Linked DNA regions of Cricetulus griseus. The protein of the gene in region 1 binds, or shares a complex with, the protein of each later gene. Links are inferred from orthologs where the notes say so. Each region holds a gene or a part of one and is shown on either strand. Other genes may lie near its edges. The genes, in order: Tbp, Gtf2h3, Taf1c, Taf8 and Taf11.

Region 1 (5,503 bases):
CCTATCCTGGCACTCACTCTCAAACTCACAGAGATCTGCCTCTGCCTCCCGAGTGCTAGGATTAAAGGCATGCAGCACTAACACCCGGCCTTCTTTTTTTAAGATTTATTATGTATAGTGTTCTGTCTGCATGTATCCCTGCAGGCCAGAAGAGGGCACCAGATTTAGTCCCAGCACTTGGGAGTCAGAGAAAGGTGCATCTCAGTGATTTCAAAGGCCAGCCTGGTCTACAAAATGAGTTCCAGGACAGCCAGGACTACACAGAAAAACCCTGTCTTGAAAAACAAAAGGAAAAAGTGCTTCTCAGTAATGAGTTTGTAGGAGTATCTTTTGGGTCCTCTGTCCTCTCAAAGAGATTATGAAATTCTTTGATTGATTTAGTAACATCAGAAGAAGGCCTGTGTCAGCATATACTTAAAATGACCAGGGGTCGTGAGTATAAGACTTGTAAATTTTAGATGATAATAAATGTTTAGAATAAGATCTGATTGTTGGGCTGGGGAGATAGCTCAGTGGTTAAGAGGAGTTACTGCTATTATAGAGGACCTGGGTTTGGTTCCCAGCACCTAGATGGTAGGTAGCTCACAACTATCTGAAACTCCAGTTGTAGGGAATCCAATACTCCCTTTCTAACTTCTGCAGGCACTACACATGTGATGTGCATATATACATGCATACAAAATACTCATACACATAAAATGAAAACCTTTTTTTAAAAATGTAATAATATCTGTCCTGTACTTAACTATGTGTATATAGATTCACCCACTCCCGCTCCCCCCCTTCTCCCTCCCCCCCCCACATACATATACACATTTTCTCTGTGTAGCCCTGGCTGTCCTGGAACTCAGATCTGCCTGCCTCTGCCTCCCATGTGCTGGGATTAAAAGTATGTGCCTCCACTGCCCCGCAATTAGATTCATCTTGATTGATAGCTCATTCAGTTTGTTCATCCATTGTTGATTCATTCAGTCCTTAGGGCATCTCTGAGCAAGTTATTGGTCTGCATGAACTGACTTGATTAAAACAAATGTCTTTAAAGAATTGGGGATGGGCATTTGCCTAGCATTTATGAGACTATGTTCTGTCACTACCATTACCAATTTAAAAAAAAAAAAAAAAAACTTTACATAGTCTCTTATTCCATATGCATATTGAATATGGCCACTAAAATGATGATTTATGAAGCCCAGTTCCAGGCATAGTTTTCATTAGTATGTTCTAAGGAGTTAAGAATAAATATTGTATTTATAAAATTGATGTATCATTTATTGTTTAATCTGTCTTTAATTAAAATTGGAACACAAAAATGATTACCTATGCTAAAAATGATTACACAATATGCTTATTGTGTCCAGTTCAATATTTGTGGCACTTTATGCTTGAGACATTGTGAAGGGTATAAAACTGAGAATATTTAAAAACCAGCATTGACCTAATAGTGCTGTATAAACACTGCTTAAGAAAGTATTCTCTGATAATACAATTTGCTTAGGAATTAGTTTTCTCTAGGTGTTCCCCCATACCAAAAACAAGTTCTTTCTACCTGGCCACTAACCAGGTTTATTGGTTTATTCATCAACCAATAAGAGAAACATATACACAGAAGGACATCACCACATCATCTCCTCTTTTCTAAATAAAAAGGGTTTTATCCTTAACATGGTAAAATTACATATAACAAAACAGTTATCAAGTAAGAACTATAGTTACAATATTTAGTCCATTAACATTTAGCAAGATTTAAAGAAAATATTCTATCTATCCTATCTTTGTGAGTCTAAAGTCTTATGTGTAACTTATCTTTTATCATAACTAAGGAAAACAGTAACTGTAACTATTTGTCTTCAACTCCATCAAAGACCATAGAAGGATAGTATATAAACTCTAGAATTGACAGAGACATCTCACTGCCTGGTCAATCACCCAAAGTTCCTCTATAACATTGGAACATCCATCTTCGGCCCATAGGCCATAGTGTGTCTGACAGACTTCTCAGTGAAACAGGAAATTTTAAACTGTCCTTCTGTATTGGCAGACATTTCCATGAAGCAGGAACCCTGCAGGACTGTCCCATTTTGTTTCAGCAGTTCAGCAGTCACTTTCCTGTGGGCACTGCATGTCCACCATATACGGTATACAGGCAAACAGTCCAGGCAAGAGCAGTTTCTTGCCCAAATAGTCATGTCAAAAGCAATAGGCTTTTGGGATTGAAAGATAAATATATTTCTCCAGGATAGATTTTGTGTGTGTATGTTTTGTGTGAATATGAAACCTATTTAAACTTAAAGCATTTTTCCCCCAAGCACAGCATCACTGTTTCATGGTGTGTGAAGATAACCCAGAAAATTAAAGGAGTTTCAAAAGAGAATTTGCAGAGGATGCTCTAGGAAAAGTCTGAGTACTGAAGACAGTGAGAACCATGGACCAGAACAACAGCCTTCCACCTTATGCTCAGGGCTTGGCCTCTCCACAGGTAACAACAGGAAGGGGGGACAAGAAGGGCTGACAGAGAAGGTGAAATTTAACCATCCAGTAATGGACATGGATTTGTATGTTTCTCAAGCTTGTTTTACTTTGTGAAAATTTATGCTGTGGATAGGCATAATGCCCCTTTGCTTGGGAGTTTATTTAGAAGACTGTTCCATCTTTGTGAACTGTAGAACATTTATTTCATTTGCTTCAGGAGGTTCCTTCTAGACCCTCTCGCAGTCACTTTCCTAGCCCAAGATGACAACCAAATCTGCTTTCCAAAATTAAACATGTTTTGATGTAAAATGTATGTGTGTATTTGCAATAGAATTAAACCTAAATTGTTACTAATTTAGTATAAATTTTGCCATTTTTTCTTTCTACTTCCACATAAATAATTACTAAATCTAACAATGTTTGTAAGACATAGAAGCATTATAGAAAAGGCAGTTAACAGTATTTTATAGGCTTTGTTGATTTTTGTTTTTAGTAGAATAAATAGCTCTTTGAAGTATCATAGAGTATACCATGAGCTTGTCATCTTGAACCTCTAGGTGACTTTGTGATCCATCATCCAAATGGTCACATGTTAAGCTAGAGGGTAACCCTCATATACTGGGTAGCACTTTAAAGGGACATGTACCTTTGATTTGTCCTTATGGTCTAGATATGCTTGGGAGGCTAAGCATCTTTCTTGTATATCATAAATAACAGATTAGAGATGCTAAAGTGCTCAGCTACTATATTCAGTACTACAGAAGAAAAGGGATGCATCTCAGGATAGCAGATTCTTCCCAATATTTAATGACCTATTATATTCAGCAAGCATCAGGTTTTACACTTTACCTGGGTTCCACTAGGAAAAGAACCTGTATTACTCAACATTAATGTCTTAAGCATTCTCTTTTTGCTTTCCACAGGGTGCCATGACTCCTGGAATTCCCATCTTTAGTCCAATGATGCCTTATGGCACTGGACTTACTCCACAACCTATTCAGAACACCAATAGTCTGTCTATTTTGGAAGAGCAACAAAGACAGCAGCAGCAGCAGCAACAGCAGCAGCAGCAGCAGTCTGTAGCAACTGCAGCAGCCTCAGTACAGCAATCTACATCTCAGCAATCCACACAGGGTGCCTCAGGCCAGACTCCACAGCTCTTCCATTCTCAAACTCTGACCACTGCACCATTGCCAGGCACCACCCCCTTGTACCCTTCACCAATGACCCCTATGACCCCTATCACTCCTGCCACACCAGCCTCTGAGAGCTCTGGGATCGTACCACAGCTGCAGTGAGTACCTCTTACCTTGTTTGCTCATGCCCTCTCCTCCCCTCCCCCAACGTGTGTGTGTGTGTGTGTGTGTGTGTGTGTGTGTGTGTGTGTGTGTGTGTGTGTGTGTGTGTGTGTGTGTGTGTGTGTGTGTGTGTGTGTGTGTGTGTGTGTGTTTTCCTTGTCCTCTGCACCAGAGGAAGCTTTCAGTGGTATTACACTATTTGCTTTCAGTCTTACTTAAGGAAGTGACCCAGTGGTAATTCTGTTACACTGCAGCTTCCTCGGCTTTTGGCAAGGAATTGAAGCTACAGTCAATGCTCTCAACAAAACCTTTCCTTAGAAATGGAATTGCTTGTGTTTATGTGTTTGAGTCACTGAAATGAAAACTGAGTTTCATCAATACTGTGGACATTTCCCTGTAGCTAATTGGCTGAGTCACAGTGCAGTTGTTTTCACAGGCTTGGCCATAATGTTAGCAGAGTTCTTAAGTCCAGATTTTTCTACAATTTCGCTGTGAGGGCTATATTTTATCTTTGGAATTTGTGTCTCTCTTTCAAAGTGAGGATAGCAGTTCTTGTCTTGATACATTTTTCTGCCTAAGTGAAGTAGTTCCCACGTGTGAAAAGGTAGGAGATACAGGCTTTTTTCTTTCTTCTGAAACAACCAAATCTAGATACTCCTTAGTAAGAAGTATGCAGCTTTACTTTAAGGAAGCTTATGTCCTGATTAAAGGGTTCATTGCAGATGACAACACACTATTCAGTTTGTGTTTATTAACCCGATCTTCCTACTTTCAGATGTTTCTTATTTACACATGACTTTCCTTTTACATATATAATTGTCATTTGTAAGCCATGCCAGATCATTTTTTCTTTTTCTTTTCTTTTTTTTTTTTTTTCCGAGACAGGGTTTCTCTGTGTAGCTTTGGAGCCTATCCTGGCACTCGCTCTGGAGACCAGGCTGGCCTTGAACTCTCAAGAGATCTGCCTGCCTCTGCCTCCCAAGTGCTGGGATTAAAGGTGTACACCACCAACGCCCGGTTGCCAGATCATTTTTTAATCTAAGTGGTATATAATCATGAACCTCGACTACTATACCCAAAAACTTATACCTTGCCTGTATGCAATTTTAAAATTACTTTTGATTTTAATATTTTAGAGAGACAAGCCCTTGTTACAGAAAGTTCTTTCCCACCAGTCTGGTTCCACAGCTGTCTGATTGCCCTTGAGTTCCAAATAAACACACAGACCTTATATTAATTATAAAACTATTGGCCAGTGACTTGGGCTTCCTATTGGCTAGTTCTGTCTTAATTATTTATCCATTTCTATTAATCTAAGTATTTCCACGTGGTCTAGACTTACTAGAGAATATCCAGACCTGTTTCTCATTTCAGCAGCTACATGGTGATTCCTGTCTGTCTACCCTTCCCAGAATTCTCCTTTCATAGCCCCGCCTATCCTTCCAGCCTGGCCACTAGCCACACAGTGTTTTTTAATTCATCAACCAATAAGAGAACATACACACGGAAGGACAACCCCATCAAGCCCTGTTAGCTCTCCTTTGTCTGTGCTGCTTCAAACTAATTTTTCATGCCATTTTGACCTCCACGGGCATTCTGGTTTGTTCTTGTGATTAAAATCATCTGTTGGAACCAGCTTATGGCATGCACTTATTTCCATATCTACAGAGCATGCACTTGGGCACCAGAGGCAGGGGGATCTCTGTGAGTTCAAAGCCAGCCTGGTCTACAGACTG
Region 2 (6,052 bases), on another chromosome or scaffold:
ACCATGGTAATAGCTGGTCTGGTCAGACTCATTTCAGATTAGAGGACTAACTACAAACCCAATCATAAAAACATCTTTTTTTTTTTTTTCTTTTTTCTTTTTGGTTTTCTGAGACAGGCTTTCTTGGTGGAGCTTTGATCCTCAAACTCCCGGAGATCCACCTGCCTCTATCTCCTAAGTGCTGGGATTAAAGGTGTGTGCCACCACTGCCTGGCTATAAAAACACTTCTTTAGAGTGGTGAAATGGCTCTGTCAGTAAAGGTATTTGTCATTAACATAACCCCAATGACCCAAGTTTGATCCCCAGAGCCAACTCCTCTGACCTCCACACACTCACTGTGGCACCTGTGCATACCCACACAAACACCTAATAAAGAAATAAATGTAATTAAAAATACTTCTTAGAAAAATAGCTTACTAAGGAAGAAGCTATGGTTATAGTCCAGTGGTACAGCATGTCTAGCATGCTTGAGGCCCTTGTTTTCATCTCCACCTCCACAAAACGGAAAAAAAATTAAACTCAAGACTCATCTATGTTGGTCCCATGTTCTTCTCCTATTCATGGTAACTGGCCTCTATAGTACCTGTGTTTACAGAGCACTGCCTACACTTTGCATCTCATTTGTGCCTCACCAAACCTGTCAGCTGCTGTTGTCCTTATTAACAGACAAGAAAACTGCAGGACAGAGAAGTGTCTTGTCCATGGTGGCACAGTCAGGATTTCAGGCCCAGCACCCTGACTCCAAAGCTTTTGATTCTATCAGCACAAGGGGGCCATCTACTCACCGCCCCATCTTTGATGAAGGTATGGCATAGGTCCGCAATTTTGTTCCTTGACAAGGATATTCTCCTGAGGAAAAGCTCCCCTCTCTCAATCATGATCTTCTTACATTTGGAGTAATCCTGGGGAGAAAAGAGCAAAATGAAGGGGGGAGATCCCAGGAAAGCTGACAGGATCTGTAGACAGAGAAGTAGAAGGGCCTCCGGGGGGGGGGGGGGGCTTACAGAGTACTCCAGGGAGGTAAGACTGATGAATCGAAGGAAGAGCTCTCCACCAGACGACACGGCCACGGAGGAGTCCACACTACATAGGGTTTCTATGGCACTGGTGAGATTCGCTCTCAGGCCCTGGAGTGTCTCCCCTGCAATGATGAAGTGAGGCACCACTATAGCCCAGAAACACCAGAATTGTTCTGAACATTCTCTATGGCATTTGCACAGAATCTAGGTCAAGCTAGGAGCTTGGTTCTCATCTATAAAGCTAAATTACTGCTATAATTTAAGCCTTTTGGCTAGGGCTGTATTGTTGACTCTTGACTCCCAGTGTATTTTGTAGGTGGATGGGAATCCTTTAAGTGACAGCCTGAGGGCTCCCTCCAGACTGAAAGGGCGAACATGGAGACAGAAGCTGAGCTTGAGACTGTAGGCAAACATGCATGTCTCCCTGTCCACGTTCCTACAAGTCATCTGAAGACTGTCCTAAGGCCCAGACCATTCAAGGCTGACTCTTTATACCTTTGTCTCTCTTCAAGAACTCCAGCAAAGTGCGGATGGCAGCTACAGCTGAGGCCATGTTAGGATCGCCTTTCATCTGAGACTTGAAGTATTCAATTAACTCTAGGAAGAGAGGAAAAAAATGGGTTATCACAAGAACTTAGCAAGATGAGGCTAGGGCACTTTGTAACAACTGCTGACCTCAAGAATAAGAAGCAAAAAGGTTTTTTTTTTTAAAGTAGCTTTTAAAGTTACAGGGCACATTAAACAATGACGGGGATAGAGAAGATTCCGTACTGTTGGCAGGGACAGACCTCTTTCATATTTTAAACAAGCTATTGGTGTGCAAGGCAGAGAACTTAGAGACCAAGTCCAGGGGCTAGTAGTCTAGGGAATCCTCACAGCCCCGTTATTATTTTCTCCTGCAGGCCTTTGAGCAGTCTACAATCGTTAACTCATGTGCATAAACACAATTGTAAAAATGCTTACAGTTCTACCTACTTCACTTTTTCGTTAAAATCAGTGTATTCGTTTGCTTTTTCACTTAACAAAAACATTCTGAGAACCATGATGGGCAAGCAAACCAAAGATGCCTTCTATCTTCCAGTAGGGAAACGCGTCTTCCTTCTGGACACCAGAGCTGCGGAGGCCTGCACACTGTTACTTTGGAAGTGGACGCTCGGACAGCGTGTGGGGAAGTCAGTTTGCGAGCGTCCGAGAGGCCCAGACCACGGCACAAAGAGCAGTGACAGCAGGAAGCGGATCGAGCCCGGACTACCCGTGTGTCCCCGCCGCTCCGGCCACCCACTCACCGTGGTCCTCCATCGCTCCCTCCCGCAGCCCGCAACCGCGCCGGCAGCAAGCCACAGGTTGACAGTGTGTCGCGCTCTTCACGCATCATTTCCGTTGCCGCCAGCTTGAGGCTTACGTCACTCACCAGCGCCGGAAGTTGTCGTGCGCGCGTCGAACCGTGGGCGGCTTTTCTCCGAGGCTTAGGGGCGCCATGGCTGCTGACGGTGAGGGTGGCACGGACCGGAACGCGGAGCATGGCTGGGAGGGACGCGTTTGGTCTTTAGACGAGCAGCCAGTGTATTCGTCCATTCACTCAGCGATTTCATTTTTGAGACAGGGTGTCACGTAGAACTCGCTGAAGGATGGCCTTGAACTCTTGATCCTCCAGTCTGCTTTGGAGTGCAGGGAATTACAGGCGTGCCCGATCAAGCTCGATTTTACGTGGTGCTCAGACCTTTGTGCATTCTCAATGGGCATTCTACCAATTGAGCCACATCCCCAGCCCTAATTATTTTTTATATAGACGCTCGCTCAACCTGCCTTAGCCTTCCGAGTTCTGGGATTACAGGCCCGCATTAGCATGCCCAGTGTGTCATTCAGCGAATAATGGGATTGCCCCCTGTGTACTGGACACTATTTTCCAAACTGGAGACTACAGCACAGAACTCAACACAGGAAAGTTTTGAGTGTGTAGTGTCTTAGGGTCGAGAGAGGCAATTGGCAGGTGAAATTACTTCCAAGAGGCCACCAGGGCTATGAAGACAGATGTGTGGCAACTAAGTTCAAGAGGACTATCTTTCGTTAGGAGTTCAGGAAAGATGGAGACACTACAACTGTGGCTTGAGCGACATTATGAAGTTCATTTAAAGTACAGACATCCTGGGAGGTTAAACCTAGAAGAGTAAACTGGGCAGTTGGAGGATAGAGGGAGGTGGGAGGCTCTTATTCATACTCTAAGCTACTAGTTACAGCTTTTAAATTACATTTCCTCCCAATGATTCTTGCATTTACTGATTTAGTATTAGTGTGTGTGTGTGCACTCGAGCATGCTCATGGAAATCAGAGGACAACTTGTGGGAATAGTTCTCTTATTGATTGTTTAGGTCTCAGGGATTGAACTCATTCAGGCTTGTCAGCAGTCGCCTTTACCAGCTGAGCCCTCTCGCTGGCCCAGAATTATCTAGATGGATAACATTAGAAGCATCACTTTGACTCCTGTGTGAAGAATGGATTGTGGGGGGCAAGAGTAATTAGAGAGGTGCATTCAGCAACCATAGCTGTTACTCCCACCTCTGTGAGAAAGGCAGGCCTGCCATGGCTTCTTAGCCAATGAGGCACAGGCTGAAGGAAATTGGCAGAGGTGTTTCATGTGCACGTTTCTGACAGGCAACCCATTGTTTTCTTTCTCAAGCTACTTGGTACTAGAAAGGAAGTAAGAGCAAGTAGGATTTAGTTCTGCAGAAACCAGAGGTGCAGGGTGATTCTTAAGAAGGAGCAGGGGATGCAGGAAGGAAGGTAGGAGGCAGTAAAGTGAACACTGCCTTGTGCTATTACATGAGCACCCAGGCTTTTCGTGATAACAGGCACTGGCAGGATTGCTTTGTCCTTTGGAAGTGTATGCTCTTGGCTGGGTGTGGTGCCAGATGCCTGTAATCCCAGATACTTAAAGAGGTAGGAGGTTACCAAGTTCAAGGCCAGTCTGAACAGTTTTTTGTTTTTTGAGACAAAGTTTCTCTGTGTAACAGCCCTAGCTGTCCTGGAACTAGCTCTTGTAGACCAGGCTGGTCTTGGACTCACAGAGATCCACCTGCCTTTGCCTCAAGAGTGCCACCACCGCCAGGCCCTATTTTTTTTTTAAAGAGGTACCAGCTATCAAACCAAGGACTTCCCCAGTAGAGGGCAAGCACACTATCATTTAGCTGTGTCCTCAGCCCTTAACCTTTAAGGGAACTTGGCCCTTTCGGTGAGCTCATGATCCATCAGAGGATGATAACCATTTGAAGGCCTCTGGGTGATTGATTGACCCTCAGGAATGTTATCTGTATTTCAGTTTCATGAGGCTGACATTTTAAAATGTTGCTCTTGTTCCTGTTAGCAGAAGATGAGTTGAATCTTCTGGTTATCATAGTTGACACCAACCCGATTTGGTGGGGAAAGCAAGCATTAAAGGGATCTCAGGTAAGATGGCTTGAGCCTTCCAATGATTCTCCTTAACTTCAGTATGTCTGTATGCCACCCACTACCCTGCAAGCAGTATTGAGTGTTTACAAGCTGGGTGTGGAGGCCCTCGTCCAGTCCTAGCACTCAAGTGGAGGCAGGCAGATCACCGGAGGTCAAGCTCATCTCTGGCCATCTGGGCTGCTGGATACACTCTCAAGAAAGGAAAGCTGTGGGTGTGTAAAAGCCACCAGTTGTACTGTACAGACCAGGGAGTTGTATAACCAGCCCCCACAGTTCCTTCTCAGGACACACATGAAGTTCTCAAACCTGTGGACCATCATTCCTGCTTCCATCCTACATGTTCAGGCAGCCATTGGTTGCCTCCTGGCTATTTTGCTTCTCTAAGCAGTTGATATATCTATTGTATGAGTGGGCATCTTTTGTTATATATTTACATGGGGTGGGGGTTACGGTGTGCCACAGCACTTATATGGGGGTCAGTGAACAACTTTTGGGTGTCTGTTCTTTGCTTTAATCATGTGGGCTCTGGGGCTTGAACTTGGGTCATCAGACTTGTGGGAAGTGCCTTTAACCATTGAGGTAACCCATCAGACCTTGTCTTTGGACAAGGTCTTTTTTTTTTTTTTTTTTTTTTTTTTTTTTTTTTTTTTTTTTTACATTTATTTTTTGTGTATATGTATGGATATTTGGGTGCTTGTAGAGGTCTCGAGTTAGTTCGCTCTTCTCACCAAGTGGGTCCCAGGCATCAAAGTTCTTATATTTGCTGAGCCATCTCATTGACCCAAGTTTTAAATTTTGATGAAACACGGTTTATGTATTAAAACAAACAAAACTGTGCTTTTTTTGGTTTCTCTGTGGCTTTGGAGGCTGTCTTGGAACTTGCTCTTGTAGATCAGACTGGTCTTGAACTCACAGAGATCCGACTGCCTCTGCCTCCCGAGTGCTGGGATTAAAGGTGTGCGCACCTCCTGGCTTGATTGTGCTTTTATTATTTTTTTTTCAATGCAGAAACTCAGGCTGGCCTTAGCATGCTGTACAGCCTGAGGATGACCTTGAACTTCTGGTCCAGTTGCCTCTGTCTCCTAAGTTCAAGGTTTCCTAGGTTACTGGCATTACATGTAATGCCAGTATTTGAAAAATAATGTTCTAACCTATAAATGATTTGTGTCATTAAAGTCAGAACGCCTCCCCTCAGGCGTTGTGCTCCAGGTTTTAGGAGAGGTGAAGCTGAGGAAATTTTTAGTGTTGAATCATTGTGTCTGATGTCAGGACTATCCGAACACAGTGATACATGTCGTGACATGGGGAGATAGAGACAGATGAATTGTTGGACATTTGTTGCTATTCAGTGAGCATCAGGGCACCCAGGGGAAGACCCTTTCTTAAACACACCACAGTATATAAGTAAATAAAACTAAGTAATAAATAATTGGTTTTTCAGTGACGTTTTCTGCAGGAGCTGACTTGTTTTTCTCGTGTTTGTCAGTTTACTTTATCCAAGTGCATGGATGCTGTGATGGTGCTGGCAAATTCCCATCTGTTCATGCACCGCTCCAACCAGCTGGCTGTGATAGCCAGTCACATT
Region 3 (5,951 bases), on another chromosome or scaffold:
TTAGAAGCTCAAGTGGGCCAGGCAAACTGCTTTAACATGCCTCCTCCAGGCGGCGCTGGTGTATTCTTAAGCTATCAAGCCACAAGAATAATGTTGCTATTTCTGACTGGACAGTGGTGCTAAAGTCACATGCAGGGAAATCCTGTATTGCCTGGGAATGAGAAATATGTTGACTTAAGAACAGCCCTCCTCTCTATGATTAGAGAATAGAAGATAGTTTACTCTTCAGCTAAACATGAATGAGCATGCCCACACAGGATGGCTAAATTGATTGTCAACTGAACATTTGGAATTAATTGGGACCTAAACTGCTGGGCCCCTGTGAGGGATTTTCTTAATTATTTGAAGAAGGAAGACCCACCCTAAATCTGGGCCACACCTTCTGGTGGTAGTCCAGTTAAAAGGGTGTGAAAAAACTTTGATTTTTTTTTTCCTACTTGCCCTTACTCTTTCTGGCAAGACCATTTATTTATTTATGCCATTGCTGAAGCATTCCTTTACCAAAATTCGAACCAACTTCTTTATAATTTTAACAAAGACAGTCAATAGCTCTTCAGGAATCATACAGGACTCTAGCACCAGACAGGGACTGCTAAGACATCCAGCCTCATGTACTGAACATCACCTTTTGGGTCATGGACAGCTATTGTTGGACTACCCAGATCACAGCTGTAAGCCAGTCTAATAAAATCTCTATTCTATATTCATCCATCTGTTCTGATAGAGAACCCTGACTAACACCCAGAAACACAGATTTAGAGTTCCCTGGATAATCTGCTACATGGAGGAGACAGATTAGCGAAGTTTTGCTAGTTCCAGAACAAAGGAAATCATAACCCAAAAACAGTTTTCAAATACATTGGAGGGAACATCATGTAGGTAGGTTATAGCGAAGCAGGAGCATCTATTTTAGGTCTCAAAATTCTATCTGAAGTTTTCAGGTAGGGTCTCAGCTATGCAGGTCTTAGACCTCTGTCTCCCTGGTGTGAATAGGCTCATTCCTCCCCTGCTAGCATTGGACCCACTCTTGCTCTGAGTTCCCAGGTGTTGATAGGAAGAAAGTTTTTCTCTGTGACCCCAAGTTCTTCACCTTGAAGTTACATAAGGATCTGTCTTTCTTTCTTTCTTTTTCTTCCTTCCTTCCTTCCTCCCTCCCTCTCTTTTGAGACAAGGTTCTCACCATACAACTTTGGCTATTGCTGGGCAGACCAGGCTAGCTTTGAACTCACAGAGATCCACCTGTCTGCCTCCCTAGTGCTGGTTTAAAGGCGTGCACCACCACCACCCGGGACAACCTGTGTTTCTTTTCTTTCTCCCCCCCACCCCCCCATAGGGTTTCTCTGTGTAACCTTGGCTGTCCTGGAACTCACTCTGTAGACTAGGCTTGCCTCAAACTCAAAGATCCACCTGCCTCTGTATCCTGAGTGCTGGGATTAAAGGTGTGCACCACAAAAAAAAAAAAAAAAAAAATCTGTCTGAAGACATTCTTAGCTTCCTAGTGGGTCCGCAGAACCACACATCCTAAGTTTCACGTGAAAGGCACAAGACAAAAGCAACTTGCAGGCAGCCCCCACGACTCGCTGCTTCTGAGTTTGAAAGTCTCCCAAAGCACGCAGGTGCAAGCTGGAGTTTGAAGACTACAGCCTAATACTCCTTCCTGGCCCCTGATTTAAGCCACGCATGAGCCCAGGGTCATATGAAAAGCGGATTCCTAGGATTTATGGACAATAAATACAGTGCGTGGCCCATCGGAGGTGGTCGGTGAGATAGTTAGTTAATGAAGCAGAGCAGGATCATCCAACACCGGGATGGGAATTCCACGCCTCAGGCGCCACGACCACGCCTATTCCTTGTCTGCCCGGCAGGTAGCGCCGGAGAACGCAGTGAGGCCTTGCTGAGGGCGGGATTTCCTGTTTCTCGGGAGCACTTCCGGCCTGGTCCGGAAAACAGTTCAGTCCGGCTGTGGATGCTCACGAGTTCTGAGCTGAAGAGTTGATGAGTGGCGCTCCGGCTCCTTTTTGGGCCCCGGATCAGGTGAGACTGCCGCCGGGAGCCAGCATGGTCTGCGCGCGGGGATGATGTGAGCACGTGGCGGTGCCGCGAGGCTACAGAAACCAGGGGCAGGCGGGTTCCAGCACTGAGGCTGGTCTGGGACGCTTGCAATGAGGGCGGGCGGTCTCGGGACCGGGTCTCCCCTCTGGCACACATGTGAGCAAGTTAACCACACACCGATTCCTCAGATCCTCAAATTCAGGACCTTTATGCCGCATCCAGCTGGTGGTAGTGCTCAGCGGGTGCTGTTGTTCAATTTAAATTTTCTAAACTGTGGGCTGATTACTCCCTAATGCTTCTAGAGCAGTGGTTCTTAGCCTCTCTAATGTTGCCTGCGACCCTTTAATACAGTTGTAGTGACCTCCAACAATAAAATTGTTTTCGTTGCTACTTCATAACTGTAATTTAGCCTGTTATGAATGATAATGTAAATATCTGTGTTTTCCGATGGTCTTAGGTGGCCCTTGTGCTAGAGGGTTGAAAACCGCTGTTCTAGAGAGTTCCTACTTTTATTCGATCCTCAGAGCCTTTGCACGCACTCATTCCCCCTGGACCCTCTACCCAAATGTGTGCTGAGCTATCTGTCTCCCTGAGTACCCGTAGGGACCCCTCACCTGCCCATCAGCAACCTCCCCTGTGATGGGGGAGTGAGCAGTTCTCTAGAGGCCCTTCTTACTCTCTGGCATTAGGCTGCATAGTCTGGTTTTTACCTGTTTCTTTGTAGTAGACTTTGTAGCACTGTTCAGACTCCTAATGAAGATGTGTGTGACATTAGATGCATTTTCTCCAGGATGGACTTCCCCAGCTCTCTGCGCCCCTCGTTATTTATGGCTGGGCCTCTTGGCATGACTGATGGTCCTGACCTGTCCTTCATGTGCAGCTGGAGAGATGCACTGACCATGCCAGGGTCCCAGCCACAGAACTGCAAGGTGAGGATGGAAATAGGGCACTTCCTTTGGTCCCCCTCTTATCATTAAGACTCAGTGGCACAGATGATAGACAGGGCTAGGCAGATGCTACTCCTGCTGTGCACAGGCCACGCTGCTACCCAGAGAGAGTCGATCAACAGAGGCTGTGGCTCCTCTTTCCTCCTTCTCTCCCTAGATTCAGCTGGTATTTACTGACTAGTGTTTCTGTGCCAGGGTCCTTACAGGCCCAATAGTCCAGCATGAGGAAGTTAGGCAACCCCACCTTGGGGACTGCCAGTTAAGGTGGGAGAGTTTGTACCAACAGGCAGACACTGTGTAGTGTGGCCTTGGTTCTACTGGAACAGTGGAATGGCAGGGAAAGGGGGCAGGATTTCTGCTGGCATCTTGGTTGGGACTTCGTTAGCTGCCCAGCTGCCTTGTGGAATTGAGTACATACTGTAACGATATCTCTTTCCACCAGCTGCCTGAGTTCTGCTGCCTTTTAGGGCCCCCAAATAACACACAGAGTCTTATATTAGTTACAATGCTGCTAGCCAATGACTGGGATTTCTTATCTGCTAGCTCAGTCTTAATTATCAACCATAACTACCAATCTCTATTTTTATAAGGACATATCTTACCAAGGATGCCGGCCTTATGCTTGTCCTCTCTTCCTGGGGGATCACATGGCGACTCCTCTTTTCCAGAATCCTCCTCCTCTCCTAGTCCTGCCTATCTTGCTTTCCTATTGGCCAATTGTGTTTTATTTACCAACCAATAAGACAAACATATACACAGAAGGACCGCCCTTATCAACATACAGGAGAGTGGGTCAAAGAGGGGGTGTTGAAGGAGGGGGTGTTCTTGGACCTTGAGTTAGCTCATTGGGTTCTGGGTGCACAGACAAGGCATGGGTGTGGAAGCTGGTGTGAATGGACTTTAGGATACAGATTCTGGAGTTGGCTGCCTGGGTTTAAGTCCCTGCCTTCTTTCCTGACTCTTACCTGGGGCAAATGACAGCAAACTTATGCTTCAGTTTCTTTCTTTTTGCGGGGGGTTCCAAGGCAGAGTTTTTCTGTGGCTTTGGAGCCTGGCCTGGAACTTGTTAGCTCTTGTAGACCAGGCTGGTCTCAAACTCAGAGATCCGACTGCCTTTGCCCCCGCCCCCCCCCCAGTGCTGGGATTAAAGGCGTACGCCACCACCACCCGGCTGCTTCAGTTTCTACATCAGTGAAGTGACCAACTTTGCAGAGCTGTCATGAGGACTGAATGAGTTTTAGTCAAAGAGTGCACCCCTGCCATGTTATTGCTGTCCTGTTCCCCTAGGATGGGACATTGCCATTGGCCAAGAACCTGCTGTGGGAGCCAACAACACCAGGACCCCTCCCCCTGCTGCCTCCTGGTCCTGGTAAGGGTCTCCTTCTGGGTTCCCTCCAAGGACCTCAGCCATCAGACACACATACATTCCAGATCCTGGATACCTCCATATATCACTGTGTTTCCATGCTGCCTTCTCAGGTTCTTCTTTGACCTCTCTCTCCCCTTAGATCCCTGGGAACCTGGCATGACCCCTCGGGACCTCCTTTTCCGGGGAGGTCACCGCTACCAGTTCCGGCCTCAGGTTGGGCTGGATGTCACTGAGCAGGTAAGTGGTCCCTGGGTGGGATTGTGCTGCACAGCCTGGGCTGTGCTGAGTGACACAACCATTCCCCACAGCTCAGCCGCTTCCTGTGGGACCATGGGGACATAGCCTTCACACCCCTGGGGAGGCTCATGCTGGAGAACTTCAGATTGGAGGGGAACAAGGTGAGTAAGTGCCATGGGGTGAAGGGTCAGCCACCTCTCTGGTGAGACCCAGGGGTGCAAACCTGACAGACCTTCCCTGCAGGGCTACTCGAAAAAGATGACCATAGTCAGCGCGAAGAGGCTGCTTCAGGACCTCGGTGGACACCAGCCCTGGGGGCAAGTAGCCAGTGAGAAAGCAGCCATGGATAGGCCTGGCTGGTGGTGGGATGTAGAAGGATCTAGGACACAGACCAGGTTTTCATCACAGTGGCTTTTCTAACCCAGCCCAAAGTCATGAGCCACGAGTCCACAAAACCCAGCTTCAAGCAGCTTAAGGGAAAAAAGAATCGGTCATTGGTTGATCTTAGTTACAGCTCATCCAGGTTTTCAGAATGTTTACAGGGCTCTCTTTTCTCATCCACTTCCTTCTGTCTGACTTAATTCAAGTAGCAACAGGATTATTCCAAGGAGTTAGTATCCAAAGTATCACAAATCCTAGAAAAGACTGGTTGGTCTGGCTGGATCCTCCCAGCTCTCTGTGGCCCACTCACTAGGAGGTCCTGAAATATTCAGGGTATGGGGTCCAGGAACTGGGTAGGGTGTTTTCTAGGGAGTTGTCAAAGAGACTGCTTATCCTTCACTGTCCCAGTACCATCCTCTGCTGCATTGTCCCTAGGTGTCCTTGGGCTTTCCTTAGCCACCGACTACGTCGCTTCTCCATCCTTGGGGGTCCTGTCCTGAGCAGTTCAGTGTCATTGCTTTTGGGGAGGCTGCTGCATGAAGAGCTGGCTATGCGGTGGGAGCAGTTGCTGCTGGATGAGGCCTTCACCGGGGGTGCCTTGGCCTGGCTTCCTGGAAGGACAGCACGGGCTGGACAACTGGTCTACCCTAGTGGAGGTGCCTTGGACAAGCTGAGTATCCTTTCTCATGTGGTGGGGATCCTGAGGCCATCCACAGAGTGGTCCAGGGGAAGAGTTAAGACGGGTGACAAGAATCCATCCCAGTCCTTAACCAGGGGCTCAGATTTCCAGGAGGTCAGTGTGAACTCAGGTGGCAATCTCAGGGTCCTTGAGGACCCCGGGCACATCCAGCTGCGGGGACCTGTACGGCAGGTGGTGACCAGCACTGTCCAGGGAGAAAGTGAGAGTCTTTCCCTTGCATTCTCCCTTCCCCTTTTCCTTCTTGTCCAGCTGGCTACCATCCCAG
Region 4 (5,503 bases), on another chromosome or scaffold:
TGGGAGCCATTTTCTTTCAAAACACCACATATATATATATATATATCATATCTTAAAAAAAATTACTCTTACTTATTTGTGTGTGTGATAGGGACTATATGCATGCCATAGCACACATATGGAGGTCATAGGATAACTTGTGGGAATCAGTGTGTGCCTTCCACCATATGAGTCCCAGGGATGGAACTCAGGTCATTGGTAGGAAGTACCTTACCATTGACCTAAATCACTGACTTTGGCTTTGCTTTTTCTCTGTACTTCAGATAAATGGAATCTGAAAATATTTATCATTTGTGCCTGGCTTATCTCATTAATATAATGTTTCAAAGTTTATCCATGTTATAGATTCCATTCCTTTTGAAGAATGTCATTCCTTTTGAAGACTGACTACTTACTCCATTGTAGAGTTGGATAGGGTGGGCACACCTGTAATCCTAGCCCTTAGGAGGTGGAGGCAGCAATATCAGGAGTTCAAATTTAGTTTCTGCTACATATAGAGTTTGAGAACCTGTCTAAAAATAAACAAAGAAGCTGGGCATTGGTGGTGCACGCCTTTAATCCCAGCACTCGAGAGGCAGAGGCAGGCGGATCTCTGAGTTCGAGGCCAGCCTGGTCTCCAGAGAGAGATCTCCAGAGAGAGTGCCAGGATAGGCTCCAAAGCTATACAGAGAAACCCTGTCTCAAAAAACCAATAAAGAAAGAAAGAAAGAAAATGCTCCATTTTATGTGTATACCCCAGTTGGTTTATTCGTCCATTTGTCAGTTTCTTTCCCACTTTCTGATTGTTGTGAATTTGGGCTGCTGTGTGTGAGGTGCACAAGTGCCTGTTTGAGCCCTGACTTTAGTCATTAGCTATATATGTAGAGCAAAACTGCTGGCTCACCTGGTAATCCTATATTGAATTTGGAGGAACCGTGGCCTTTGACTCTTGTAGACATCTCGGAAATCGGGAGAAGTGCCAAGTCTTACTGCGAGCACACAGCCAGGACCCAGCCCACATTGTCGGATATCGTGGTCACGCTGGTTGAAATGGGTGAGTGCATCTCCAGCATCCAGTGCTCTGAGTTAGGATCCCTAGGCAGGGAGGGAGGCCTGGGGGTTGGGGTGTCTGCTGAGTGCTCATGGATTCCTTCGTGTTTTCCTTGATTTGCTTTTAGTTTAGAAAGTTAAGAGGAAAGAATCCTTTGAGCCCATCTTGGAGACCCCCTGAGTCCTTTTTGGGGAGCTCTGCTGGATCTTCTTTTGAGAGGCAGAATAGTGGCTCAGTTGGGAGTTTAAGCCCCCTTTTCTCACTTTTTCTTTTCCTTTTTTCTCCCCCCCTCCCCAGACATGGTTTCTCTGTATTGCTTTGGTGCCTGTTCTGGAACTTGCTCTATAGACCTGGCTGACTTCGAACTCACAGAGATCCTCCTGCCTCTGCCTCCTGAGTGCTGGGATTAAAGGCATGCGCCACCAATGCCCAGCCCTTTTCACACTGTTAACTTCGCTTTTCATGTTCAGTATCCAATGACCTACGCAGTGATTGGCTTTCTTGTCCCTAGGGTTCAATGTGGACACTCTTCCTGCATATGCTAAACGGTCTCAGAGAATGGTCATCACTGCACGTAAGTGGCTTTGAACCCAGGGACTTAGTAAGTATACAGTGATTATGGTGGGACTCGGTTGGAGAATAGGGCAGGCATCAGAGTGGCAGCTGTTGGCTCTTTGCAAGCTCCCTTCCAGTCTTTGGGGTGGGTTAGCTACCCACAGCCTGGTTTTATCTGGACAGGAGGATTCTAAGCTACTCTGAACCACTGCCCTTGTACTTTAACCCTGAAAAGCAAGCAACGATACAGGAAGACTATGAAAGTTCTTGCTCCTTTAGATCAGGGTTGGTAAATGTAGTCCAATGCTTGCTTTTGTAAATATAATTTTATTGGCATGCAGTTGTATTTATTTGTCTGTGATTGCTTTCATGTTATAAAGGCAGGGTTTTGTGGCTTGCATAATCTGAACTGCCACTGCTTACTGGCTACTCTTGTAATCCTAGCACTTGTGGGATACATAGGCAGGACTATGACTAAGAAACAAGCAAACAAAAGTCTAAAATATGTATCATGTATCCCCTTATGTAAAAAGTTTACTCTTTAGGATAACTAGGTCCCTTAAAGTAAGGAGTAACTGCTTTAGTCTTTAGGACTTGGGGGTACTGCTGTGTTTCTTTCTTTCTTTCTTTTTTAAAATTTTATTTATTTATTATGTATACAACATTCTGCTTCCATGTATATCTGCACACCAGAAGAGGCACCAGATCTCATAACAGATGGTTGTGAGCCACCATGTGGTTGCTGGGAATTGAACTCAGGACCTCTGGAAGAGCAGTCAGTGCTCTTAACCACTGAGCCATCTCTCCAGCCCCACTGTATTTGTTTCTTAAAGTCACTTTTTTGCATTGGCATCATGTTAGATATTAAATCTGTTTATTATGTGTGTGCACGCACATGCCATGGTGTGCATGTGGCCATCTAGAGGAAAAGTTGGTGGAAGCTGTCTCCCTCCACCATGTGGGTCCTGCAGATTGGCTTGGTGGCAAGTCTTTTCCCACTGAACCATCTGGCCACCTGCATTGGAGAGAAGCAGTGGAAGGTGCCATCTTCCTTCCCCTCCACAATTGTTAAGCCCACACTTCCCCCAGCTCAGTGTTTGTTATTTGGGGTCTCTGAGCAGCGTGTGTGTGCTGGGGATTGGACCCCAGGGCCTTGTGCATGCCAAGCATAGACTACACCAAACACTGCTCCTAGTGTCCTCACTCTCTGGGAAGAAGACTAACAGCCCGTTGAATGCGAGTATTGTACTTCAGCATGTTCAACTATGTAGTGACTTTGGTGACAGCCACTCTCCTGTTGATGCAAGGGGCTTACAGGCAGATGTCACAGATTGAAATATCAAGCAAGATGACCTGACAAGGCCGGGCATTGTATGCTGATCTGAAGAGGTTATGGATGGCTTTTTATCAATAGAAATACAAGGTGCTGAGTCATGGTGTAGTGGGAAGATAGGGGTGGGGCTGAAGAAGGACTATTGTCTGTAGACTTCAGGGGTTGAACAAGTAACCAGTTGTGATTCTGTTGCAGCTCCAGTGACTAATCAGCCAGTGACACCCAAGGCCCTCACTGCGGGGCAGAACCGGCCCCACCCACCACACATCCCCAGCCATTTTCCTGAGTTTCCGGATCCCCACACCTACATCAAAACTCCAGTGAGTGGTGGAGCCACCCAGGGGCTGTGAGTGATGTAAACCAGCTGAGGAAAGGTTGCAGATGAAAGTGCTTTCAGTTCTCTGACTTTCCCTAGAGAGCAGCAATCTTGTTATAGGGAATGATGGCTCAGTCCTGTAATCCCACCACTTGGAAGGCTGAGGCAGAAGGGTGGCCATGAGTGTGAGGCCAGCCTGGGCTACAGAGTGAGATGCTGTCTCTAAGAGAGACAGGACTCAGGGAAGGAATTGATACAGTTGCCCTGGACTTCAGTCCCTCAAAGTGTCCTGGGGTTGCTATGATAAGGTGCTACAAAGTAGCTGACTTAGAGCAATAGAAGTGTATTACTTTATAGGCCTGGGGGCCAAAAGTTGAAAATCAAGGTGTTATCAGGGCCATATTCCCTGTAAAGCCTGTAAGGGAATCGTGTTCACCTTGCCTTAGTGTGTCAACATTTCTCCAGCATTTCTTGGTTTATAGATGTGTCGCTCCAATCTTCCTGTCCCCTCCACGTGGTGCTGGCTTTCCACCTCTACAGATTAAATATTTTGTCTTCCCATAAGGACACCATTGTCCTTACTTCATGACTCTTCCTAATCAATGACATCTTGGTGACTCTGTTGACAAATAAAGTCATATGAGATGCCAGTAGTTAGCTTACTATATCTAAACATTTTTTTATGGGAATACAGATCAATTCATAGTATTCATACCTCTTATATGGTATGTTAAATCCTGACAATAAAAATAATGTAAGAAGCTTCTTTTACTGGTGTTTTTTGAGACAGAGTCGTAGACAGCTCAGGTTGGCCTCCAGCTCAGTATGTAGTTAAAAAGATGACTTCAGGCTTCAGGTCCTCCTGCCTCTACCTCTGAAGTGCTGGGATTACAAGTATGTATCATTACCCCTCCCCCCTCTTCCTCCCTCCTTCCCTTTTTAGACCAGACTGGCTTTGACCTCACTGAGATCTCCTACCTCTGCCTCTCAGGTGTTGAGATTAAGGGCATGGGCTAACAAGATGGTATTCTGTAATTCTTTTGTTTTTGAGACAGGATTTCTCTGTGTAGCTTTGTAGACCAGGCTGGCCTCAAACTCACAGGCTGGCTGCCATAGTCAACTATGTAGTAAATATTTGCACTTTTTTTTTTTCCCGAGACAGGGTTTCTCTGTGGCTTTGGAGGCTGTCCTGGAACTAGCTCTTGTAGACCAGGCTGGTCTCGAACTCACAGAGATCCACCTACCTCTGCCTCCCGAGTGCTGGGATTAAAGGCGTGCGTCACCAACGCCTGGCCGCACTTTTCTTAATGAGTATTCCTGTACTGAAATGAGCTCTTTCTTTTGTATGCTGTTCCTCATGTAACCTTAGTCAGCAGGTCATGTTCTCAGGACATAGCTGCAGCAAGGCAGGGCCTGAGGAGAGCTGAATGCAGCATGGGCTCAGCCTGGTGTCTCTGTTGTTCCAGACATACCGTGAACCAGTGTCTGACTACCAGGTCCTGCGAGAGAAGGCTGCATCTCAGAGGCGAGATGTGGAGCGAGCCCTCACCCGTTTCATGGCCAAGACAGGCGAGACCCAGAGTCTTTTCAAGGATGATGTCAGCACTTTCCCCTGTGAGAGTCACCCCCCTGGGAACCCTGTTTTGTTTGAGATAATCTCACCATCTTTGCTTTCTCTCAGTGTGGTGGGGAGACATGAGTAAGCCTTTGTGTTTTTCTCTAGTGCAGTTTCTTCTCTAGATCCTTCCTCCAAGCTCTGAGAGACTCTTCCTAAAGGATGACTCCAAATGGAAAGGCTGCTCAAGGCAGTGAGTTTAGGTTACCTCACTGGTGGCTGAGCCCTGGGCAGCAAAGTCTCCTGTGGAAGTGGTGACCCAGGTAGTAGGAGGAACGCTGGCATCTGTAGCCAGTTGCTTACCAGTGTCCTTTTCTAGGCTACATCTCATTTAGGCTTTGTTGACCAAGTCACTCGTCTCCATAGGGGACCTTGGGTTATGCAGAGTTGAATGGGGGAGCTTGGTCTGTTCACTTAGTGAGTGTCCACTCGGTGCCTGCTAGCCATTCCCCACACATCACCTCAGGCAGCCATCCAGACCTGTAAGTTAGCAGTCCTTAGCTTTGCCACACAGAGGCTTGTGGGAAAGGGAAATTATCTAGCTTGAGGTTATGGTAACTGGGCAACATTCATACCTGGCTCCCTCTGGCTGCTCGACAGAGTCGTGTCTCTCTTCCAATTCCCAGTGATTGCTGCCAGACCTTTCACCATCCC
Region 5 (6,186 bases), on another chromosome or scaffold:
CTAAGCAAGTCATGATAAGCAAGCCAGAAAGCAGCACCCCTCCATGGCCTCTGCATCAGCTCCTGCCTCCAGGTTCCTGTCCTGTGTGAGTTTCTGCCCTGACTTCCTTCAGTGATGGACTGCAACGTGTAAATGTAAGCCATTAAATAAACTTTTTCTTCCTCAAGCTGCCTTTGGTCCTGGTGTTTGATCACAGCAATAGACTGAGACTCTGTCTCCAGGCACGGACACAGGAACTGAGAACTAAGAACTAAGTGTGAGGAACACTGTTGTCAATATGAGAGGCAACAGTGTATCCATCCGTTCTTACTTTCCTTTAAGTGGCCCAACACTCAGGATCCCAAGCAGGAAGTGCCCTGAGTAACCCACAAGCACCAGTTAAGTCTCCTTTCTGTGCCTCTGAGCACAGTGTGCTTACCTGGAACCTTCTCACTACACAAGAGCGATCAAAGTCAGCCTAAGTACACCTTCCCCTGAGGTTCTGACTTCCAACCTATCCCAAAGAGAAGTCTGTACTCTCAAGTACCAACCACTAACAGTGAAGACCACCACTGATTTATTTAGAGATGGTTGCTCCCCTCAGGGGATGGGTCAGGCCATAAAGACCTTGTTCAGCAAACAGGAGCCCCTGGATTTGGACCCTACCAGTCATGTTTAGAGGAAGGAAAGAAAAAAGGCAGAAAGGCAACAGGGCTGTATGTGAGGGTGATCCTAGTACTGGGAAGGCAGAGGCAGGGGGAATCCCTGGGACTTGCTGACCAGCCAGTATAGCGCAATTAGCAAACTCCAGGTTTGGTGAGGGACACAGACTTAAAGAAAGAAGATGGACAGCAATTGAAGAAGACACCCAATATCAACTTCTAGCCTCCATCAGGCACACACACAAAATGATCATTCTTCCAATGAGTGCTTTTATCTATTCAACAAATCTTGAGTGCCTACTATGAACCAGTATTGTTCAAGGGACAGGGGAAATTGCAGCCAACAGAACGGGGTTTTGCTTCCCCAAAGGGCAGGGTTCTTCTGGAGTGCTTTGTAAAGTCTTCCTGAAAAGATGAAGGTTGCTACTCTGTACTGAATACCGGACTGATTGTTAGAGCCTTGGGTTTCTTCGGTCCAAGCTCTCCAAGCTCACTCAAACTGAAGGTACATAAACTAACAGGGAGCAGAAGCTAACGAAGCCACTTCTAAATGAACTTCCACTTCTTAAAAACCTCAAAAGAACAAGGAAGGAAAAGAAAACAGCCACGAAAGCGCTGCTGAACCAACACATTTTATACACTCTGACAAAGCATTCCAATCCCCCTTGTGAGCGACAAAGAGTGCCCCCCCCTCCCCAAGCCTTGCAGCCCCGGATTCAAGTGTCTAACAGATCTCAGAAAGTTGAACGCACCTCAGTTTCCTAACAAGCCTTTCCAAACCCTGATTTCTCACCGAGTTAAGTCCCGGGGGGGGGGGGGGGCGGGGGTGAGCATATGCCACTTGGACCAGCCAGCCCATCGAGAGTGACTACAAGGAATCTGACGTCAAATTTGAGCTTCAGGCACCAGAGAGGCTCAAAGCCTGAGCACCTCGTGCGCGATCCATGCAGGAGCAATTTTAAAAACAAACAAAAGCCGGGTCCCGCACAGCCCGGTGGAGCGTTCCAAGTTCCTGAGAGAAGGAAATGAGGCGAACCGGCTGGGGGGGGGGGTGCCGCGAGGCTCTGCGCGGCGTGGGAGTTCCTGCACGATATGAGAGGGATTCCGCGAACTCGGTCTGCTCTGAAGTGGCTTTTGTGAGAGGCGACAGCTGGCACCCACGGCGGGCGGGCGGGCGGGCGAGGGTGACGCCGCCGGGCTGTGCCGTGCCGTGCGGCGCGCGCGGGCTGCCACCGGGGCACTCCCCCATTCTCCGCAGCCGCAGCCGCAGCCGCGACGCGCGCGCGAGCCAGAGCCCGGCCGCCCGCGCGCGCCTCAGCCGAGAGCCGCCACCTCCCGCGGGAGCCCGCGCCGTCGGGGCTCCGCTCCGCGCCGCGCCGCGCGCGCACACTCACCTCAGCAGACTGGAGAGCGGGTGGCTGGAGGAGCCGAGGCCGCCGCCGCCCCCGGAGCGCGCCGCCGCCGGAGCCGGAGCCGCCGCCGCCGCCGAAGCCGGAGGAGAGCCGCTTCCCGGACAGCAGCTTCTCCACGGCCGGGAGGTGCCCGGTGCGGGCCGCCTCCAGCAGCTCCTGCTCCTTCCCCATCCCCAGGGCCGCCGCTCCTCCGACCCCCGCCCGGGGCCACGCAGAGCCCGCGGCGGCTCCCAAACTTTCCGTCTCCGGGCAACGCACCCCTCAACCCGGCCGGGGACGCCACCCCCTCTCCCCCGCCTCCTCCGCCGCCGCCGCCCCCTCCCCGCGGCGCGTCACTTCCGGGATCCGGCGTCACGCGTCACCGGCCCCGCCTCCTTGCCCACCTAGTGGGCGGGGCCCCGCGCCGGCGCGCAGGTGACGGCGCCCGGCGCCGTCCCCGCCCAGCGCGCGCGCCCGTGGCGCAGGTGGGAGATGCGCGCTCGTGCGGCTCCCGCGCTGCGGGACACAGGGGAAACTTGGTAGCGCGCGCGCCAAGACTCGTAGGTGAACTTGGGAACAGGCGCGGAGACCCGGAGGCAGCCGCGGGAACGGCGCCCCCGGGCGGGAGGACCGCAGTTGGGCCGGAGCGGCGGCGGCTCCGCTGTAGCCCCTCCGCTGGCCTCCCAGGGCGCCGTGCGCAGGCGTGCATGCAGCCGAAGCCCCGTACGCGGGCGAGCGGGGACGAATCCGCAGCCGCTTCCGCGCCGGGCTCAGAAGAGGGGCCACGTGTGACCCCAGGCGGCCCGCGGGCTCTGCAGTCCAGGGCGGCAGTGCGGCTTTGACGCCGGCAAGCCCGGGGCTCACTGCCTTGTCACCCCGAGTCAGGTCGAGGAGGGACTGACGGGCAGGGCGTTTCCATAAAGGACGAGAGAAACAAGTCTCTCAGCCAACGAACGTACGCTCGTCCACAGCCGCTCCTTCCCTGAAGCTGCGGACGCGCGCTCTTAAGTTTCTTTCTCGTCACAACAAATGCTGCCTAAGTGGCTCCCCAGGGCCAGCCGCGCGCTTCTGGAACGGACCCCTCCGAGGCGCCGTGGGTGACGTCATCGAGGCGCGACGACAAGCCGTCAGCCCGGGTTCCACGGTAGGGCCGGTCGTCTCGCTCCCCTCCCGCCGCGATGGACAACCCTGCGGAGTCGCCCTCGGACAGAGGCGGAGAGCCGGCGGAGTCGGAGGAGACGAGGGCTGCTCCTGGAGTCCCGGCGGCCGCCGGCCCCGAGGGGGGCCCGGAGGAGACCGACGGAGATGCAGAGGCGAGCCGGAGAGCGGCGGCCGAGAGCGAGGTGGGCGCGCGCCTGCTGCAGCCCTGCGGGCCGGGGCCGGGGCCGGGGCGAGGACGGGCACGGGCGGTGCACCGAGCCCCAGCCTTGCACGCTAAGCCCCAGGGGTCCCGGGGCCTCGTTAAAACCGCCGGCTGTGCCTCTCCAAAGGCCAAGCGTCGTTGCCTCCTCGACCCTCAGCGTCCTTTTCTGCAGGCAAAAAATGTCGGAGTTTGAGAGCTGGGGCTGGCTTTGAAAGATCACGGGGTGAACAGTAGCTAAGGTGGAAATGGGCTTTCTAACCGTAACTGCCTCAAAATGCCTGACGTAATAACTTTCAGGAAGAAGAAAATGTAGCAAAACTTTATAGGATTTTGCTTTTTGTCTTTATGAGGGGCGTCTCCCTAACACGGCCTGGCCCTGAGCTTGTGACCCTCCTGTCACAGATGAGCAGCAAAACTGTTTTCAGAACCGGGCGTTGGTGGCGCACGCCTTTAGTCCCAGCACTCGGGAGACAGAGGCAGGCGGATCTCTGAGTTCGAGGCCAGCCTGGTCTCCAGAGTGAGTTCCAGGATAGGCTCCAAAGCTACACAGAGAAACCCTGTCTCGAACCCCCCACCGCCACCGCCAAAAAATAAAAAAATAAAAAAACCTTTTCAGAAAAAAATTTAAGCTGAAGTAGACAAAATACATTACAAGGCTTAATGAGCTACAAAATGAGACCTGCTTCTATCCCAGCTCGAGAGAGAGAGAGAGAGAGAGAGAGAGAGAGAGAGAGAGAGAGAGAGAGAGAGAGAGAGAGAGACAGACAGACAGACATCGAGAGGGGGGAAGAGGAGAAAGGAGGAAAGTTAAGGGCAAATAAATTTGAAAATTTGAGGCACACAGGTTAGAAAATGTGTATAGATCAGTAGCTAAAAAGAAGTTGAAAGGATTGGCAAATACATAATGCCTTCACTCTCCCTCTCCCAATTTCTGAATGAGTTTAAATATGAATCTCTTTCTAAAGGAACCATTAAATCTCACAAGTGAGTTTTGATGTATTATGATTCCATAATAAGCTTGTCATGACATACACCTGTTAGGAGTAACTTTTGAGTGCTTATTTGGAGAGAAATGTAAATAATAAACATCTTCAAACAGATTTTATAGTAGGGCAGGCAAAACGGCTCAGCAGGTAAAGGTGCTTGCCACGAAACCCTGGGAACTGGAATTCAATCCCCGAAACCTACATAAAGATACAAGAGAACCAACTCCACACTTGCAAGTCTACACACAGTATGCATGAATGCACCTAATAATTTTAAATTTGGGCTTTTAAAAATTGTTATTGTATGGATGTTTTGCCTTTGTGTATGGATGTTTGCCATGTATGTGCCTGGTCCCTGTGGAAGTCAGGAGGCATCAGATCCCCTGAAACGAGTTACAGATGACTGTGAGGTGTCATGTGAGTGCTGGTCATCAAACCTGGCTCCTGCAAGAGCAGCCAATGCTCTTTCTTAACCTCCGAGCCATCGCTCAGTTTCAATTTAAACTCAGTATGGTGGCAATCCCAGCAAAGAGGTTGAGGCAGGACAATTTCCACAATCTGGAGACTGGGGAGTGTTGGACCACCAGTCTAAGCTACAAAATGAGATGTCTTAAATTACAAAAGAAAAAAAGTTTCCAAACTGGGAGTGGCAGCAGAGGCCTTTAATCCCAACAGTTGGGAGGCAGAGGTAGGTGGATTTCTAGGAGGTCAGCCTGGAGGACAGCCAAATTTTAAAAAAAGGTTTCTAGTCTAGTAATGGGAGAGGTAGTATCTTATGATCCAGTAGAGGAAGGGTCAGAACACAGCACAGGGTGGTGCTCCCAAGACGCAGATGCTGCTGGATGGATAACTTTGCTGACACCTGTAGGGTGAGGGTGGGGGAGTGGCGATTTGGCTCCTTGGTGTTTTCCCCTTACTTGGTAAACAGATGGAGGACCTCTATGTGATTATGGCTCATGTAGAAAACTGGATTATTCCTTTTCTTCTTCAGTTGAGCTATATTCTTCCTTTAGGAAACAGACGGCAGCCTCTTAATTAATGGTGCCCAGAACCAGACAGCTCCTGTAGAAACAGATTTGCTGCTGTGGAAAGAGAGAGGGGGCCTGACTTCACCCAAGCCCGAAAAGTGTGCCAAATATGTAATAAGTTTCTGTCCATCTTCCCAGCTCAAGAGTCAGGATGTCTCAGATTTAACAGCAGTTGAGAGGGAAGACTCGTCATTACTTACTCCTGCAGCCAAAAAGCTGAAACTGGACACCAAAGAGAAGAGAGAGAAGAAGCAGAAGGTAGACGAAGATGAGATCCAAAAGATGCAGTGAGTCTTCAAGGGTTCCATCTCTAAGCCCGTCAGCTCTGCACTCACTCTTACTGCTTTTTGTGTGCTCTGAGGCAGGGTCTCATGAGCTTTACATTAGTCTTCACCTCCTGGTCCTCCGCCTCGGCCTCCTTAGTGCTGAGATTACAGGCATGAGCCACTCACTATGCCTGGATATAATTGCAGGCCAGCAAGCTGCAGGATAAAGGTGCTTGCCTCCAAGCCTAATGACCCGAGTTTGCTCCTGGGAACCCAGGAGGTGGAAGGACAGAGCCAGTTCCTGGAAACTGTCCTGTGACCTCCAAACACAGGCATGTTCCTATAAACACAAAATAAATGTGTAAATGTTATTTGTTTCAAAATGTTTAAAATATAACTTAATTTGGTCAGTGTTTCCCCATCAGTAATTATACATCAAAATCATCATTTTCTTCAAAAAAACTTGATTTTGTGGTTGCAATAACATGGGCTCATTGCAGATAACTCAGAA

The links.
Region 2: Tbp (region 1) and Gtf2h3 share a complex: the UniProt entries of both Homo sapiens proteins name them as parts of the TFIID-containing RNA polymerase II pre-initiation complex. The link is inferred for Cricetulus griseus from reciprocal best matches to the Homo sapiens genes TBP and GTF2H3.
Region 3: Tbp (region 1) and Taf1c share a complex: the UniProt entries of both Homo sapiens proteins name them as parts of the transcription factor SL1/TIF-IB complex. The link is inferred for Cricetulus griseus from reciprocal best matches to the Homo sapiens genes TBP and TAF1C.
Region 4: Tbp (region 1) and Taf8 share a complex: the UniProt entries of both Homo sapiens proteins name them as parts of the TFIID basal transcription factor complex. The link is inferred for Cricetulus griseus from reciprocal best matches to the Homo sapiens genes TBP and TAF8.
Region 5: Tbp (region 1) and Taf11 share a complex: the UniProt entries of both Homo sapiens proteins name them as parts of the TFIID basal transcription factor complex. The link is inferred for Cricetulus griseus from reciprocal best matches to the Homo sapiens genes TBP and TAF11.

The regions. Positions count from the first base shown.
Region 1 is NC_048595.1:294,444,530-294,450,032, forward strand, and holds part of Tbp (TATA-box-binding protein), read left to right. Parts: intron 1-2,306; exon of another isoform or gene 2,307-2,311; 5' UTR 2,312-2,422; coding exon 2,423-2,476; intron 2,477-3,392; coding exon 3,393-3,763; intron 3,764-5,503. UniProt on the Homo sapiens protein: The TFIID basal transcription factor complex plays a major role in the initiation of RNA polymerase II (Pol II)-dependent transcription.
Region 2 is NC_048597.1:104,284,860-104,290,911, forward strand, and holds the start of Gtf2h3 (general transcription factor IIH subunit 3), read left to right. Parts: upstream 1-2,377; 5' UTR 2,378-2,497; coding exon 2,498-2,510; intron 2,511-4,381; coding exon 4,382-4,464; intron 4,465-5,953; coding exon 5,954-6,052. Other genes in the region: Eif2b1 (translation initiation factor eIF-2B subunit alpha), read right to left, coding at 787-903, 1,006-1,142, 1,516-1,617, 2,307-2,319. UniProt on the Homo sapiens protein: Component of the general transcription and DNA repair factor IIH (TFIIH) core complex, which is involved in general and transcription-coupled nucleotide excision repair (NER) of damaged DNA and, when complexed to CAK, in RNA transcription by RNA polymerase II.
Region 3 is NC_048596.1:196,236,365-196,242,315, reverse strand, and holds the start of Taf1c (TATA box-binding protein-associated factor RNA polymerase I subunit C), read left to right. Parts: upstream 1-1,926; 5' UTR 1,927-1,995; coding exon of another isoform or gene 1,996-2,034; intron 2,035-2,827; exon of another isoform or gene 2,828-2,842; 5' UTR 2,843-2,843; coding exon 2,844-2,981; intron 2,982-4,286; coding exon 4,287-4,368; intron 4,369-4,507; coding exon 4,508-4,605; intron 4,606-4,676; coding exon 4,677-4,766; intron 4,767-4,848; coding exon 4,849-4,922; intron 4,923-5,421; coding exon 5,422-5,660; intron 5,661-5,768; coding exon 5,769-5,885; intron 5,886-5,951. UniProt on the Homo sapiens protein: Component of the transcription factor SL1/TIF-IB complex, which is involved in the assembly of the PIC (pre-initiation complex) during RNA polymerase I-dependent transcription.
Region 4 is NW_023276806.1:256,849,785-256,855,287, reverse strand, and holds part of Taf8 (transcription initiation factor TFIID subunit 8), read left to right. Parts: intron 1-934; coding exon 935-1,033; intron 1,034-1,541; coding exon 1,542-1,604; intron 1,605-3,113; coding exon 3,114-3,238; intron 3,239-4,700; coding exon 4,701-4,848; intron 4,849-5,475; coding exon 5,476-5,503. UniProt on the Homo sapiens protein: The TFIID basal transcription factor complex plays a major role in the initiation of RNA polymerase II (Pol II)-dependent transcription.
Region 5 is NW_023276806.1:233,026,608-233,032,793, reverse strand, and holds the start of Taf11 (transcription initiation factor TFIID subunit 11), read left to right. Parts: upstream 1-2,493; 5' UTR 2,494-3,210; coding exon 3,211-3,375; intron 3,376-5,547; coding exon 5,548-5,696; intron 5,697-6,186. UniProt on the Homo sapiens protein: The TFIID basal transcription factor complex plays a major role in the initiation of RNA polymerase II (Pol II)-dependent transcription.